Mus musculus: one gene and its partners. Each later gene encodes a partner of the first gene's protein in a complex. Links are inferred from orthologs where the notes say so. Each region holds a gene or a part of one and is shown in the gene's direction. Other genes may lie near its edges. The genes, in order: Eif3i, Eif3g, Eif3f and Eif3d.

Region 1 (4,137 bases):
GTCCCTGTTCTGGCTTGCACCTTCCCACGGGGGTTGGCATGGTTACAAATGCTCAGGGACCGCTCATGTGTTTGAAGACCCCTTAGAGCAAACAGAGAAACGCATTCAATGTACTCTATTGCCTTAAATGCCCTCTCCCTCGTCATGGCCAGTTCCCATCGTCCCTGCTGGTATAAGGCCTTGAGTGACAGTGTTACCCCTTCTAAGTAGCCCACTCCATGTCCTCCAGCTTCATCTCTCTGTACAGAATTCACACAGTACTATAAATATAGTACCTCTCTCCTTCCCCCTAACCCTCAGAGTAGGGCATATCTAGCTAGCTTACATAGGCAGCCATGGGCAGTTCTCGATAGCTTTCCTTATGTTCTACCCCAGGGCAAGTTGAGCCGAAAGAAAGCTCAACTTGGTGATGATGACCTTAAGAGTAGTCCTGGAGCCTGGCAGTGGTGGCGCCTTTAATCCCAGCACTCAGGAGTCAGATGCAGGCTGATCTCTGAATTCGAGGCTAGTGAGTTCAGGGTAGCCAGGGATACACAGAGAAACCCTGTCTCCAAAAACAAACAATAAGCAAAAATAGTCATTGATTGAACATGTACCCTGTACTAGGCCCAATGCTAAGTGTTTTATGTGTCTTACTTGAGTTCTTATATCAGCCCTATACAAGGGTTATCATTAAATTTTCCATTTTTTTGACGAAACAGACTCACAGAGGATAAATGACTCTTCCAGGAACTTCTAGTGAGTAAGAGATGGGCTGGGAATACGGCCGACCTATGGTGAAATTTTCAGGGGCTCGTCCGTGAGAGCTAGACGCACCTCAGTATTCCCGAAGAGAGCCTTTATCTCCTGCAACAGCTGCCAGGCCCACGTCCGCTCACGCACTTGCTCCAGGCCGGAGGAGGCTCGCTTCAGCAGCGGCTGCGTGCCACCCCACAGTGCGGCCACCAGCACCAGAGCAAGCACCTGCCCTGAAAGCAAAGGGTCAGAAAGTCACCCGGGTCCTCCTCCGGCCTCCTGCACCCTGCTGCCCGGCTCCATCTCCCTCCCTCCCTCTTCCCGCCGGGCTGTGATCGGTCGGGAGGACCCGCCCAGAGGGCGGCCGAAGTGAGACCAGGGTGCGTGGCTCAGCATTCCTGAGGCTCGGGGATGCCAGGAGACTGAGAACAGAGCTCCCGAGCCAGAGTCGGAGCCCGCGGAGGTGGGGGGCCCGGCTACCCACCCCAGGACGCCGCCATGAAAACGCCAGGCCCTTCTACTTCCGGGAGCGAGAGGGCGGAGCCCCCGCATCCGGAAGTCGTCCCTAGTCTTTTTCCGGTCCCACTCACATTGCCTCTCTCCTCGCGTCACCGCCAGGATGGTGAGTTCCAGGCGCGGCGTGCTGCCGTCGGGGGGCCTCAGTAGGCATGGGACGGGGTTCCCGGCACTGACACCCCGGTTCTGTCCCCACAGAAACCCATCCTGCTGCAGGGCCATGAGCGGTCCATCACGCAGATCAAGTATAACCGCGAAGGAGACCTTCTCTTCACCGTGGCCAAAGACCCTGTGAGCGACTGCGTGAGGGCGGGCGGCCGGGGGTCCGGGGCGGGGGGCCCGGAGGGGGCGAGTTCGCGCCGCCCGGACTGCGGGTGGACAAGGTTTACTGCCTGCGGGAGGGAAATTTTTCTGATAAGTAGGGAAAACCAACCCCATACCGCGGTAGGTTGGCGACAGCATTCCGCCAGGGAAATCTGGAAGGGAAGGGTACCTAGCCAGGGAGAAGAGAATCAGGAGACTGGAAGGGAGCCCAGGGACAGGACAGGACAGAATCAAGTGGTCTGTTCAATCCCACTTTGTTTCCTTTGGGGATTGTCTTTTGAGGCATTTGCATTGGAGGCAATAAACTGATAGTTAACAGTGGAGAGTTAAGTCGGAGCTTGAGATCTGAGCCCTAACTCCTGCTCCTACTAAGCAGTGTGACTTTGAACATGACATTTACCTTTTCTATAAACCACAGTTTTCCCTTTTAATAAAACATGGAGACTTTAATTAGCTCCCTCAGCAGAGTGAGGTCATTTCTGTAAATCGTTTTGCACTGTACCCGATGCATGTAAGTCACTTATTTTAAGTTTCATAGACATGGTTTCATTGGAGCTTCACAGCTGCCCTTTGAAGAAAGCTGTTGACAAGAGTGGGGTATCTGTCCATGGTGGCCAGCACACCTCTCCATCCTCCTGCCTCAGCCTCCTGGTCTTGGGAATACAAGTGTGTGCTACCACACACAGCCCCTCCCAGTCATTTTTTTTTTTTAATGTATGTGTGTGTAATGATTTTGTTTATTTTATGTGTATGGGTGCTTTGCTGCATTGTATGTCTACATAGCATGTGAGTGCCTGGTGCCTGTGAAGGCCAGAAGAGGATATCAAATCTCCTGGAACTGCAGATACAGATTGTTGTAAGCCATCATGTGGGTGTTGGGAATCAAACCCAAGTCATCTGGAGGAGCAGCCAGTGCTCTTTAAGCTCTGAGCCTTCTCTTCAGCTCTCCTAGCCATTTAAAGGAAGGGAGCTCTGTATTTAAGATCACACAGTGAGCTAGTGACAAAGCAGTGGAGCCCATACATCCTTACTGTCATCCGGAGTCAATTGAACAGGACCCGAAAGGTTTTTTTTCACACTGCAACTCAGGTTGGCCTTTACCTCTTCTGACTCCAGACAAAAGCACATGAGGATGCTATTGGAGGCCTGGCTCTTCTACAGCTTATGTTAGGAAAGGAGGAGAACCCAGGAGCTGGGCGGTCCTATCAGCTCTTCACTGGTAAATGAGCAGAAGGCAAACCTGGCTTGGCTAGAGCCTGCAGAGGGTTTGTAGTGCAAGCTAAGCTATTGATTATTTTGGGATGTGACCATCCTATCATTTTACTCTTTCCAGATCGTCAACGTGTGGTACTCTGTCAATGGGGAGAGGCTAGGCACCTACATGGGCCACACTGGAGCTGTGTGGTGCGTGGATGCTGACTGTATCCTTTTGGCCATGGGTTAGCCAGCCTTGGAGATACTGGCTTTGGCATGTTGTGGCGGTCTAGAGAATAACACTCCCTACTCCCAGCTACTTCATCCTGTGGGAAACTAGGACAGGTTCAAGTTTGGGAATTCAGAGGTCAGGGCACTCTGAGGTAAAAGTGAGAAAGTCTCTTTGGGACTGACCTGGGAGATGCTCTGATGGCTTCCAAGAAGATATGGACTAGGTGGACTATGTATTCTTATTTGTATATATGTGCGTGGTGAATCTGTGTGCACAGGAGTAGGGACAAATGGAGGCATCAGGTCTTAAGTTGTTCTTCAACCTTTTTTTTTTTTTTTAATCTTTTTTATCATTTTTCTTTTCCCTAAAGATTAGGGGTTTTGGTTTTGGTGTTTTTTGGTTTTTGGGTTTTTTTTTTTTTTTTTTTTTTGTTTGTTTTTCAAGACAGGGTTTCTCTTTATAGCCCTGGCTGTCCTGGACTGTCACTCTGTAGACCAGGCTGGTCTCTGCCTCCTGAGTGCTGGGATTAGAGGCATGCGCCACTACTGCCCAGCTTAAAGATTGGTTTTATTTGTATGGGTGTTTTGCTGCATATGTGTCTGTGTACCTTGTGTGTACTTTGCTAGCCATTTTCCTTTAAATGACAGAAGGCCGCAGATCCCTTAGGACAGGAGTTATAAATGGTTGCGAGCTACTATGTGGGTGCTAGGAACCTAACTGGGTCTTCTGGAAGAGCAGCCATTGCTCTAACGACTGAGCCATCTCTCCAGCTTTGTTTGTTTGTTTGTTTGTTTGTTTAGGGGTTTTTGGTTTGGTTTTTGGTTTTCTTTTTTTTTCTTTTTAAATTTTTTTAAGGTTTATTTATTTTATATGTGTGAGTACACAGTAACTATCTTCAGACACACCAGAAGAGGACATCAGATCCCATTACAGATGGTTGTGAGCCACCATGTGGTTGCTAGGATTTGAACTCAGGACCTCTGGAAGAACAGTCAGTGCTCTTAACTACTGAGCCATCTCTCCAGCCCCTGTTTTTTGGTTTTCAAGACATTGTCTCACTATGGTAGCGTTGGCTGTCTTGGAACTCTCTGCAGACCAGGTAGGCCTTAAGAGATCCACCTGGCTGGGCGTGGTGA
Region 2 (4,122 bases), on another chromosome or scaffold:
CATGAATGTTCAACAAGGAAAGTCTCTTGCCACCGTTGAATACCCAACCAATGGGAGCAGGATACGTGTAAGGCAAAACCATGTTCCCAGGTAAACCCCCCATTTCTGAATCCTGATTGGTGATGTGACTTGGCCCAGATGTTTGTGGATTTGAGGCTTAAAAACCCTGCAGGATCTTAAGTCAGGGTCACAGTTCAGGTCCTGAATCTGGACTGTGGCCCTGGTTAACCAGTCCTGACATGTATGCTCAATAAAGTGCCTCTCTCTGACTGAGACTGGGGCTCGTGTGGTCTGTGAGGGGACTCCTGGACCACAGCAGGAGGCTGGCTGCCAAGCCTGAAGGCCTGAGATCAATCCCAAGACCCACATAGTGGAAGGAGAGACTGTCTGCAAAGTGTCCCCTGACCTCCATGTGTGCTATGTATGCACAAGCATGCTGTCTTCAAATAATACAAACGCACAACAAGGTTGTAGGATAAACCCTAGCATGCTACACAGCAAAGGAGGCACAGGAGACCAGGTGGCCTCTTATTCAAAGAAAGGACGTCTTAGCACAGGACAAAAGGGTTTGGTCTGAGTCTGTTTCTTCTTCAACAAACCAGAATCCTGGTATCCTCTAAACGATGTGGGGCGAGGGCATTCTTGATACACGTGCTTTTCAGCCAAGCTTGTTGGCACACAATTATAGCCCCAGCTATTTGTGAATTCCTTGCGTTTAGGAGTTCAGGGGCAAGCCTGGGGAACAAAGCAAGACACCTTTAGTTTTGGAGACAGAGTCGCATGGAGCGCAGGCTAGTCTGGAATCCACGAGGTAGCTGAAAATGGCCTTTAACTCATAATTTTCCAGCTTCCACCTCCAGCACTGCGATTACTGATGGCTGAAAACTAATTCTCCGGGAAGAGGGAGAGAACGAATCAGTTCCGGGTGTGGCGATTTCATGTTCATATTCCCAGCACGGACGAGAGTAAGGTGGAAAGACAGCTATGAATTCAAGGCCACCCTGGGAATACTGCTCGTGAGCCTGTACTTTCAGCCTTTTGGAGTTGAGACAGGATTGTGAGGCTATCCTATCTATAGAGTGAGACACTCACGTCTAGCCCCATTACCCAAAGGGGGAAAAAAAAAGTTTAAAAAGTTCTTTGAAGCTTTTTTTTGGACCCCTTTTCCAGGTTGGATCTCAGCGCTTTGCGGTGCGCGAGAGCCGCGTGTCCACCTTTGTCCGCAGGGAGGCGCTGTGCTCACCGCGGTCTGGCCGCTCTAGGCTGCGGCCGCGGCACCGGAAGCCTCTTCTACTCCGGCTTCCTGTCTTTACCCGGGCTGGGAGCTGCGTGGAGTTAAGACTTCGAGATGCCGACTGGCGACTTTGAGTATGCGTGGGGTGGCGATGGGGTCGCCGGGGAGGCCGCGTGGGGGCTGCTCTGGGGTGCGTGGGGGTCTGGGCGGCGCGGGGGGCCGGGACCCGCTCACCAATCTCCTGTCCCCGCAGCTCGAAGCCCAGCTGGGCCGACCAGGTGGAGGAGGAGGGAGAGGACGGTGAGTGCCGAGCGTGGCCGCGCCCGCTGCCTGTTCCCGGGGCCCACGCTCCGGCTAGGGCCGCGCGTGGCCAGCCCCACCCTCGCCCTGCGCTGTGCCCCCGGTGCAACCCGCAAACACACAACACACACACACACACACTCTCTCTCTGACTTGAAAGTTCCCGTCCCGTGGCTCACTCTACCTTCCTCCCCGAATTCCCTCTGGCAGACAAATGTGTCACCAGCGAGCTCCTGAAAGGAATCCCTCTGCCCACCGGGGACACCAGTCCAGAGCCCGAGTTACTGCCCGGAGGTGAGCAGTGTCCATCCCTGCCTGCTTCCTCTTCCCTTCCGACTCTCAAGCCTACTTTCCAGCCAGTCCCCATTACCCGGGAATCAGTTTCTGTCATCTTCCTCCAGACCCGCTGCCACCTCCCAAGGAAGTCATCAATGGGAACATAAAGACAGTGACTGAGTACAAGATAGAGGAAGATGGGAAGAAATTCAAGGTGAGGTCGAAGTGGACACATAGGGCCAGTGCCTTTGTGTTCAGGGGTTCAGGTGGAGGGGTGTCAGTGGCTGAGACAGGGCCTGAGGCTCTGGAAGCACTCCTCTCTTATTCATCTTCAGATTGTCAGAACCTTCAGGATTGAGACCCGGAAGGCATCAAAGGCTGTGGCAAGGAGGAAGGTGAGATTCTACCTCATTTGGGGGGTAGGGTGTTCTCTGGGGCTGATCCTGAGGAGTTGGGAAGCCCCTTTTTGTTGATGTGGAGTAAACGTTTAGTGTTAGGCCTTGAAAGGTTAGGGCCCAGGAGTAGATGAAGTTAGATGCTTTATTTATTCATTTACTTTTGTTTTTTTATTGTTCTCCTTTTGTGTGCGGATGTGCGCAGCATCATCCCCCCCAGCACATGGCACAGCATACTTTTGGTTTGAGCTGGTCTCTCGGTATTAGGAACTAGACTAGGCTTGCTGGGCACTAACAGCCCCAGGGACCCTGCTGTCCCCACTTCCTGTCTGGCCTGCACCGGGAATGCAAGTTTGCCTCTGTGCACAGTGTTTGACTGTGGGTGCTCGGGGTCAGAGTCTGACGGACACTTGTGTGACAGACACTGTACTGAGACATACCCAGCCCTCTTGGGTTTTATTGTTTGTAGTTTGTTTTTCCAGACAGGGTTTCTCTGTGTAGCCCTAGCTGTTCTGAACTCACTCTGTGGTCTAGGCTGACCTTGAACTCATAGATCCACATGCATTAGGATTAAAGGCATTGCCACCATTTGCTGGCTTGTTATTTTTGAGAGGCTCTAGCTCTGGTCTTCATTCTAAATGCTTCTGCCTCAGCCTCCTGCATCCTGACCTCCATTCTCTCTCCTTTGACCTGTCTACATGAAGAAGCAAGCAGCCTCTACTTACCTAGGGGGGAGGGCTTGTAGAGGAGGGACAGCGACGCTTGAGAGCAAGGTCCCGTGCCAGCGTTCAGCAAGACACAGCTTCTCAGGCTCCAGGCCAGCTTAGGGAGGCAGGGAGCTTTGTGGCCCCTGTTTTACAGGCAGGAAATGAGTTTCAGGTTTAACTGGCTCGGTTCCTAAGGTCTGGGTGATTCCTCCTTTGTCCCTGGTGGGAGGCTGGCCATGGAGCAGCCCAGAAACTGCCAGCGGCACAGTGGAGCCCTGTACTCAACCTTTTTTTTTTTTTTTTTTCTCAAGACAGGGTTTCTCTGTATAGCCCTAGCTGTCCTGGAACTCACTCTGTAGACCAGGCTGGCCTCGAACTCAGAAATCTGCCTGCCTCTGCCTCCCTCCCAAGGGCTGGGATTAAAAGCGTGCGCCACCATGCCCAGCATGTACTTAACCTTTTATATGAGTGTTAGAAAGTGTACTGCACGTTTTCACACGAGCTACCTTACCAGCACCTACCTCAGATAACTCAGGCTGGTTTTGAGCTTGCGTGTCTTGAGGTCCTCCTGTTTGCACCTGGCAAGTGTTGGGGTGACAGTTGTGTGCCACTGTGTTTAGCTTAGGGAATGGGGATTGTCACCATTACCACAGGGAAGGCCTCTAGAGAGACTAGATCTTCGGATTCAAGGCCCCGGAATGGTTGTCTGTCTGGGGTACCCACTGCAGGATCCTTCCTGTCTTTTCCTCACTTCTCCCCATTGTTTTCTGGGAGCCCAGAATTGGAAGAAGTTTGGCAACTCGGAGTTTGACCCACCGGGGCCCAATGTGGCCACTACCACAGTCAGTGATGACGTCTCTATGACATTCATCACTAGCAAAGAGGTGAGCTGGGTGAAGCTGGAGCCTGAGAAATGCAGTGGGGGTGGTGTGGGCCGGGCCCAGCAGCCTCCTCTGAGCCTTCCCTCCCTATACCCCACCAGGACCTAAACTGTCAGGAGGAGGAGGACCCAATGAACAAGCTTAAGGGCCAGAAGATTGTGTCCTGCCGCATTTGCAAGGGCGACCATTGGACCACCCGTTGCCCCTACAAGGACACACTAGGACCCATGCAGAAGGAGCTGGCTGAGCAGCTCGGCCTGTCTACTGGGGAGAAGGAGAAACTGCCAGGAGGTGTGGACGTGGGGACCTGGGAGGGTCTCAGCTGTTCT
Region 3 (4,199 bases), on another chromosome or scaffold:
CTACAAAGTGAGTTCCAGGACAGCCAGGGCTATACAGAGAAACCCTGTCTCAAAAAACCAAAAAATAAAAATAAAAAATGAAAATATTTATTTATCTATTACACACACACACACACTGTCCCTATCTTCAGACACACCAGAAGGAGGCATCAGATCCTATTACAAATGATTGTAAGCCACTGTGTAGTTGCTGGGAATTGAACTTAGGACCTTTGGAAGAGGTTATTGCAGAGAATCTGCGTTGAGGTTCTAGCAAGGGGAAGGGGTTGGTTGGTGGCTTACAGCTACTCACAACTCTAGTTGTGTTCCTAACCGCTGAGCCATCTCTCCAGTACCAGCATAGGAGTCTTCATAATTAGCTCCTGGCCCTGCTTAGAGATCTATCCTTTCTTTTGATAATGCCATTTAACCACCAAATTCTTTCTTTAAATGTACTAGTCTTGCTCTCATTCACCTTAAGCCCTCTACATGAACTGTTCACTCCACCAGAAGAGCTCTCCCTACAAAACCCCAAATAATAGTTGGCTGCCTGAATTCTTCAAGTTTCCACTCCAACTTGATACCCTCATTGTATCCTACTCTAACCCTTCATAATCTTTCATGCTCTCATAACCTCCACTGATCATTTCTTTCTCATAGCACAGTCAAATAGTAATAATAATTTACTGTGTATCGAAGCACTTTCTAACCTAATGTAGGATTTAGTCCTTTTCTCTCCCCCAAAGAGAATGCAACCCTTTGCTATTTAGTTCACTTATATACCCTAGCATATAAGAGAGAGTCTGGTGCATATTAAGCATTTAAATTGTTGAATGAATATGCCTCCCTAATGATGCCTTATGAAGCCATCACAAATAAAGCACTATTGGTCAGGCATGATGATTCCTGCCTATAGTCCTAGCATTCGGGAAGCAGAGGCAGGAAAGTTGAGGTAAGTTCCAGGCCAACCTAACCTATATGGCTAGGCGTGGAATGCAAAGTAGATCCTGAGTCCAAATTTTAATTCATTGATTAATAAGTTAAATGGATGTAACAGTGAATCCCCTGTAAGACTGATATTTAATATCCATTTAAGTCTTAAACAATTGCGACCTTTACACTACTCTGTGCCGCCACCTGGTGGCAACTGTGTAGATTGCTAGTTGCTTCCTCCCCATTCCCACCCCAGGAAGTCCTAAAGTTACTAGGAACTACTCTGGACTCCTACACACTGAGTGCGCATCGGACAGAAATTAAAGCGCACACCGCGCACTAAAACTTACAACTAGCCGGAAATTTCATGTCCAATAGTCATCAAGATATGATTCACGTGGTATAAATTTAGCCAATCAAATTTCTAATTCCTCCAACTCACGCTCTTCTGTTCTAGGCTCTCTCTCTTTCTCGGCAAGATGGCTTCTCCGGCCGTACCGGCTAATGTCCCTCCTGCCACTGCAGCCGCAGCCCCGGCGCCGGTCGTCACCGCAGCCCCGGCTTCAGCCCCGACCCCATCCACGCCAGCTCCGACACCGGCTGCGACTCCCGCTGCGTCCCCGGCGCCCGTCTCGTCTGATCCTGCTGTAGCTGCGCCTGCAGCCCCGGGCCAGACCCCAGCCTCCGCGCCAGCCCCAGCGCAGACGCCGGCGCCTTCGCAGCCCGGGCCCGCCCTCCCGGGGCCTTTCCCGGGCGGCCGCGTGGTCAGGCTACACCCCGTCATTTTGGCCTCGATCGTGGACAGCTACGAACGCCGCAACGAGGGAGCTGCCCGAGTTATTGGAACCCTGTTGGGTGAGTTCTGGGGAAATTAATGTTTTCTTCCTGTGCATCTTACTATTCCTCTCGTTCCATCGCCCCTGAACTCTTAGCCTGTTTCTCTTTTTGCACCTTCCTACTGTGGCTTGCCTTCCCGAGTGATCTGAATTCAGCCGAATTGCCGTTAAGCCACAGAAATGTGCAAGGAGTAGGTATAAGCTATTGCGTAGTTTGTGATACTTGATCTACATGTTATTTTATACTCCCAACAACGTGGTACTGAGAGGGCATGCTGCCAAAAATGAAAGCTCAAATGACAGCAAGTTCAAAGCCCTTGACCCGTTAAACAGAGTACCCACATGCCCTCTCTTATGCAGTGACCTACCACCACCCCAGCACAAACAGAAAGTGCCCACCACCCATGTTAGGGAAGAGGATGTGTCAGAAGCTTCCTCCAACTCAAATAAACCAGGTATATTTGTAACATATTCTGGATATATAATATCTAGCTTTCCTAAACTTTTCAGACAGGCACGTGTCCCAAGGTTTTCCTACATACTGGTTCATAAACCCTAGATATGCTCAGCTCCAAGTTCTACCCCCACCCCCAACCCCCACCTCACTCCTCTGATTTTTCATTTGGACACAGACTGTTGTTGTATTATGTGTCCGTCGCTAACCTTCAAGATGAAGAGAAGCCAACTATCTGAAGAGGTTGGCATCCCAGGCTTACGGGAGGGTGGCAGGAAGTGAAGCCCTCAGTGGTTTGGTCACCTGCCTGTGGGGCAGGACTCACAGGGAGCTGAGAAGACTCCTCCAGGCTGGTCTCTGCAGAGGCCCATGACCAGCACTCATTCCAGAGCCGAGGCAGGGGAAACTAGAGAACATGCCTGCTTTGTGGAAAGTAGTAGACCTGAGTTGGGCCTGGACAGCAGATTGAGGGCTGAAGCAGAGCACCTGCAAAGGGGAGGCAGAGAGAGGCAGAGAGTGGACGCAAGGAAATAGAGCTCGCAGGTCAAGGCGTGACAGAACTGCAGCATGAGAGGGGTTTGGGTGAGTTCTAGAGCTGCCGTTGTGCATACAAGAAGAAAGGACAGAGTGTGGCTTGGGCTTGGTATTCCTTGTGAGGTGCCCCTGAGTGTACCAGTGGGTTGGTCAAGTAGAAAATTGAGTAAGCAGGGCTGCCAGGGCGCTTCACTGCCTGCCCGTGCTTCACTTCCCAGAGCCCACATGATGGAAGGAGAAAACCTGCAGACGGTCCTCTGACTTCCATGGGCAAGCAGTTGCACATCCATAATTAATCAGTATAAAAGAAAGGCAAATTTTAACAGTACGTGTGAAGATGCAAATGTAAAGAGGTGTGGGCAAGTATGCCCTAGCCCCCAGAAGATAAGTAACTGAAATAAAGAGGTAGATGTACTCACCTACCACAGGGATTGGTAGCTGTGTTTTTAAAAAAAGTCAGGGAATATTTTCAGCTTTGTGTGCAGTCTGTCACAGCTACTCAACTCTGCCCTTGTAGCAGGAAAAGAGCCATAAATAATGCAAAAGAGATTGGGCACATAAACATGAACTGAAGTGTTTCTGGGCCAGTACTTGACCTAGAAAAGAAGCATAGAACAAAAACTGGGAACACTAACAATGCTGAAACCCTGAGGTGTCAGAGGAGCTAACAGATTAGGAAGAGAAGGGGAAAAGCTAGAAGAGACTGGTATCTTGGAGGCCCTAGGAGAAAAGGCTCTGAAATGGGGGAAGCAGTCACAGTGGTCAAAGTTGGTGAGTGTTCAGATGACAGAAGGTATACCTGTGGGTTAAGAACCTTGTCTTAGGGTTCCATTGCTGTGAACAGACACCATGACCAAGGCAGCATTTCACTGTGGCTGCTTACTGGTTCTGAGGTTCAGTCCATTATCATCAAGGTGGGAAGCATGGCAGCATCCAGGCGGGCATGGCACTGGAGAAGGAGCTGAGAGTTCCATGTCTTATTCAAGGGAACCCAGAAGAAGACTGGGCTTCGTCCCACCCGGCTAGAAGGAGGGTCTCAAAGCCCACTCCCACAGTGGCACACCTAGTCCAACAAGGCCATACCTCCTGTTAGCACCACTCTCTGGGCCAAGCATATTCAAACCACCACATAGTTCAGAAAATGAAACCATAACGCTAGCCAACAAAAGACAACACTAGCAGAGACATGTTACAAGGGGTAGGGGGTGAGGAACTTAAAGGAAGGTACCAGGACATCAAGTGAGAATAGTTGGGACCTATGGCTCAGTGAGATCCAGTAACTAATGTGAGAGTTAGGGGTGTGAGAGGAAGTCTGGTAAGAAAACCTCTGGGGGTGGAATGACCCTTTCACAGAAGATCATCAGAAAACACAAGTATTTCAATTACATTTATAACAGTAGCAAAATTGTAGTTATGAATTATCAATGAAAATAATTTTATGGTTAAGGGTTACCACAACATGA
Region 4 (4,286 bases), on another chromosome or scaffold:
TAAAGACATACAAACAAACACACACACACACACACACACACAATAGGACCCAGACAGTGACAGTAAACCTTTGGGGCAGAAAGTACAGCAAGTGTGGGACCTGCTGGGAGAGGAATGAGAGCAGGGTCGTGGTGGCCAGAGCAGAGGTTGTTCAGAAGGGCAGGGAGATGTCAGGCCACATCTTCCCTCGGAAGTGTGGGAAGAGCTTTGAGCATCCTGAGGAGCAACCCACTGGGAGTATGAATGGTTCGAACAATGAGGGAGATGGTACTATGAGGGCAGACAGCACTCAGGTACGGCTGAAGTTACAACACAGACAGGCTAGTCCCAATGTGGTGGGAAATTTAAGTTAATGACGAGGACCCAGCAGGACCCACCAAATCCTGAGAACACAAATTGGGGAAACGGGAAGGCAAGCTCATTGGTAAATTAGTGAAATGGGTAATCCCACCAACATTACCATTTCCAACACAGGTAGAGGCCAAATCACCTGATCAAATTCATCCCAGTGGTATCCACGGTAAGGACCCGAATGTGGAAATGTCCTTTGACAACCATTTATTTTACAATTTATTATCTAGCATTTCCAGTTTCATTAAGGGAGGAGGGGAGAGAGATGTCAGATATGAAGGCCATAAAACTACACTTGGCTGACCCTGGACACCACATGTATCTAAGATGTTTTTTTTTTTTCTTTTTTTAAAGATGTATTTTCTAATCAAGGAGATCTGCTGAGAAACTATCAAGGAAACATAAACAGCAGGCAGAAGGGACCAGCTTTTTAAAAAACGCCCATCCCGAGTCTCTTTCCAGACGGCTGCAGGGGGTGGAAGACGCCAAGAGGTCACACTGACCCGCACCCTGTGAACTGTGATGATCAATTAAGACGTAGCTTGGATAGCCCCGATCTGAATATCGATTTAGAGCGAGGCACTCTAAATCTGCTTTAAAAAATAGCGACCAGAAATCTCCGTTGAAAGACGCTTGTGACCTGTGGGACAAAGGTTTGAGTCCTAGCGGGCACCCCGAAGCTCTAGCAACCCGGACTAGGCAGGTCATTTGCCACCCTGCGTTGGGGCCACAAGTGACAAGCACACGAAACGCGCCGGGCCACTCTCCAGATAACGATCAGCCAGACCGACGACCACGCTGGGGCCAGCGAGCGCGGCGGGGCATTGTGGGAGGCAGAGGAGGCGAGCCTGGCGCGAAGCATTATGGGACACCGCGGGGACAGCTCCGACTCCCCGCCCCGGCTTCTCTGGCCCCGAGCGTGACCACGATTCAGTTCTGAACCTCTCCGGGCGTCCCCAGACGCCACTGACGTAATCCCCTCACTTGTGTCTGGCACCTCAGGGGCGAACGAGGATTTTTTTTTTTTTTTTTTTTAAAGCCGAGAGCTGTGACACACTTCCGGTTGTGTCTCACTTTACGGCTTGACATTTTTCCGCTGACTAAGAAGGAAGTGGTAGGGCCATTTACGACAGCGCTGGTCGCCGTTTACGGCACCGGCCCCTGCGCGCGCATCTTCCCTCCTGCCTTGACTCCTCGGAGTATCCCGGCAATCGCAGTTTTTTCCCCGGGCCATCTGTCGCCATCCGGGCCCGTGAAGGCTTTTGCAGGTGAGCGGCTTGTTTCGTGGGACCCTGCGGACCTCGCGAGCCAGCCTGGGCTAGACGTGGCTTCGGGAGCTCCCGGAAGAGCCTTCCTTTACGTCCTGTCGCCTGTGCCCCTCCGCTGGGCGGGGCGGGAATTGGCCCCCGGTGGTCCCAGGCACGACTCAGAATGCAGGACACCGGACCTTGTGTGTGGATCCCTCGCTCGGCGCTCTGCTCAGCGCCGTGGGGTGGGTTGTGGGGCGACGTAGCCTCCTCTAGGGGTTCGAACAGATTGTTTCTGTGCTCCGAAATGGGGGGCTGAGAGTAGGTTCCAGCTCTGATCGGAAACGGAGCCCAGGAGTTAATGGCCCCCACCTGTAGTGTCCCCAGTGACCCACACTGTATTGTGGCCAATACAGCTGTCGCGCCGTTTTACTTTTCCCCTACTGCTTTCTTTCTGATTCACGTGTGCAGTAGCCGAAGGACCAAACCCTGTCCATCCAGGGAGATAGATGATGATGCACATCAGGCCTTGAGCCATCTTGAACTTGTGACAACTCAAGTTTACAGTTGCTTTGGGGGCAGCCTGTTGGGTATGGCTTAAAGCCCCAGGTGGTCAGGCTGCCAGCTACCCACAGTATAACCAGAAGGAGGTCGGGCCTAAGTAGACAGCCTTGGAAACTTTTTGAAGGGATGGGCAGATGGACTCCTTAAGTTAGCAGAGCTAGCTTTGTGTCTCAAAGATGGGGTGTGTGGTAGCAGTCGGTGGTAAAGCGTCCAGCACAGCACCCCAACATCCTGGGGCCTCTTACTTCATGTCAGCTGTTTGAAGGCCACCACACCCCACCACCACCACCTCACCCTCTCTCCCACAACCCCGTGTTCTTCCTACAACTTAGCATACGTTCATATTTGGAGGGTGAAGCTCCTGGGTTTACTCTTGTCCGTGTCACCTAAGTATCACCAGCTTCCGTGTGTCAGAGGAGGAGGAGAGGCTACTGAGCTCTAATGGTGGACAATTTCAGGTTTCTTGTGTGTGGTCAATGCATGGGTTTTTTTTTTTTCCTTTTGTTGTTTGCTTTGGTTTTTGATGGGAAGTGTCCAGCAAGCCCCTGGATTATACAGCTATTAGCTTTTACTTTCCTAAAATGAGCTGTGGTATATACTATATACTGCGGGGCCAAAGCTACACTGCCTGTGTTCAAATTTTCTTACCCAGAAAATGGGACTGGCCCCACGGGATTGTCCGAAGGGTTTAGTGAGCGCGTGTGCTGTAAGCGGTCAGAACAGTGTCCTGGTGCTCCTGCGTATGGACATTTGACACTCGGCCGCTTTTGCTCTGAAGTTTGTGACCACCTTGGTCACCAATGGTCCTTTTGCTTGGCTGCATGCACTGTACAGGACTTGTGCTGATGGAAAATTGGAAGGGTGGGGTCTGATTGAGGGTTCAGGGGATGGTCTTGTTTGGTTGGTTTTAGTCCTTTATTTTTAGGATTTTGTTGTTGCTGTCTGTGTATGCACGTGTGTGGGAGTTTGTGCTGTGGCATTCTGCTGGAGAAGGCCACGTGTGGGGGTCTGTTCTCACTTTCCACTTTGGTTCCACCTTTACTTGTGGCACCATCTCAGCAGCCCGAGGGTCTTTAAAGCACTGTGTGCCGGTGCCTTTGTGTAACTGAGTGGTAATTGTGCAGGGTGACAATCACCAAGACTTTGACCGAGGCCCTCTGATGGAGACTGGGTTTAGAGACATTTGCTGTTGGGTGCTTTGGTGAAGGTGTTTCGGGGAATTCACTACTCTTACCTCCTTGAATAATTGAAGACACCTTTATCATATGTTCTACTGAGAAAGACGGGACACCCCATCAAGGAAAGGCACAGCTTCATTGCAAAGATGTTCACCAAAGAACCTGTCCTAGAATCAGTGAGACATAGGAAAATGTCGCTGGTGTTGGCAGGGTTCTGCGTTTTGAGTGTTCTTTGAACAGTTTACAGGAAAACCCTGTCCACAGTGCTCGAGAGCCAGGGTGCACCTCTGCAGTGCAGCTTCAGTGGAGGGTGGAGTGTTTGGAACTTGGCGGCCTTCCTTCTGAAACTTCTCACACTGCTTGTGTTCACAGGTTTTAGAAGATGGCGAAGTTCATGACACCTGTGATCCAGGACAACCCCTCAGGCTGGGGTCCCTGTGCCGTTCCTGAGCAATTTCGGGATATGCCCTACCAGCCATTCAGCAAAGGAGATCGGCTGGGAAAGGTATTGGGTCCCTTCAGCTGGGGCAGCTACTCCACAGTTCCCCACTGCCTTTCTAGTCTCTTGATGGATATCCTTCCTTTGGGGCTACCACCTAAGGAAGGCCCTGACCTCCAGAATGAGTCAGAGCCAGGGTAGCCACGTGCAGAGCATCAGAGGCGACACTGATGCCTTTTGTCGCTGTCGATGTCAGCAGAAGTCTACTCGCCTGACCTGTTGTCTTCCTTGTCCCTCACAGGTTGCAGACTGGACAGGGGCCACATACCAGGACAAGAGGTACACAAGTAAGTGGTCCTCGGCGGCCCGTCCACATCTGGGTCTTGGGAAGCTCATTACTTTTTTCAGTAAGCCCCACATGAAAGGTTTTTAGAAAGGAAAGGAAATGGTAATGGTAGTTATTGGAAGTATATTCTGGAATAGAGTGTACACAAACCATGATTTTTA

Evidence for each region.
Region 2: Eif3i (region 1) and Eif3g share a complex: the UniProt entries of both Homo sapiens proteins name them as parts of the eukaryotic translation initiation factor 3 (eIF-3) complex. The link is inferred for Mus musculus from reciprocal best matches to the Homo sapiens genes EIF3I and EIF3G.
Region 3: Eif3i (region 1) and Eif3f share a complex: the UniProt entries of both Homo sapiens proteins name them as parts of the eukaryotic translation initiation factor 3 (eIF-3) complex. The link is inferred for Mus musculus from reciprocal best matches to the Homo sapiens genes EIF3I and EIF3F.
Region 4: Eif3i (region 1) and Eif3d share a complex: the UniProt entries of both Homo sapiens proteins name them as parts of the eukaryotic translation initiation factor 3 (eIF-3) complex. The link is inferred for Mus musculus from reciprocal best matches to the Homo sapiens genes EIF3I and EIF3D.

The regions. Positions count from the first base shown.
Region 1 is NC_000070.6:129,597,814-129,601,950, reverse strand, and holds the start of Eif3i (eukaryotic translation initiation factor 3 subunit I), read left to right. Parts: upstream 1-1,302; 5' UTR 1,303-1,354; coding exon 1,355-1,357; intron 1,358-1,449; coding exon 1,450-1,542; intron 1,543-2,908; coding exon 2,909-2,996; intron 2,997-4,137. Other genes in the region: Tmem234 (transmembrane protein 234 isoform 1 precursor), read right to left, coding at 817-968, 1,220-1,235. UniProt on the Homo sapiens protein: Component of the eukaryotic translation initiation factor 3 (eIF-3) complex, which is required for several steps in the initiation of protein synthesis.
Region 2 is NC_000075.6:20,895,790-20,899,911, reverse strand, and holds the start of Eif3g (eukaryotic translation initiation factor 3 subunit G), read left to right. Parts: upstream 1-1,321; 5' UTR 1,322-1,348; coding exon 1,349-1,368; intron 1,369-1,487; coding exon 1,488-1,534; intron 1,535-1,744; coding exon 1,745-1,828; intron 1,829-1,935; coding exon 1,936-2,024; intron 2,025-2,145; coding exon 2,146-2,205; intron 2,206-3,691; coding exon 3,692-3,796; intron 3,797-3,894; coding exon 3,895-4,084; intron 4,085-4,122. UniProt on the Homo sapiens protein: RNA-binding component of the eukaryotic translation initiation factor 3 (eIF-3) complex, which is required for several steps in the initiation of protein synthesis.
Region 3 is NC_000073.6:108,933,041-108,937,239, forward strand, and holds the start of Eif3f (eukaryotic translation initiation factor 3 subunit F), read left to right. Parts: upstream 1-1,374; 5' UTR 1,375-1,391; coding exon 1,392-1,767; intron 1,768-4,199. UniProt on the Homo sapiens protein: Component of the eukaryotic translation initiation factor 3 (eIF-3) complex, which is required for several steps in the initiation of protein synthesis.
Region 4 is NC_000081.6:77,968,016-77,972,301, reverse strand, and holds the start of Eif3d (eukaryotic translation initiation factor 3 subunit D), read left to right. Parts: upstream 1-1,477; 5' UTR 1,478-1,619; exon of another isoform or gene 1,620-1,843; intron 1,844-3,712; 5' UTR 3,713-3,722; coding exon 3,723-3,845; intron 3,846-4,080; coding exon 4,081-4,126; intron 4,127-4,286. UniProt on the Homo sapiens protein: mRNA cap-binding component of the eukaryotic translation initiation factor 3 (eIF-3) complex, a complex required for several steps in the initiation of protein synthesis of a specialized repertoire of mRNAs.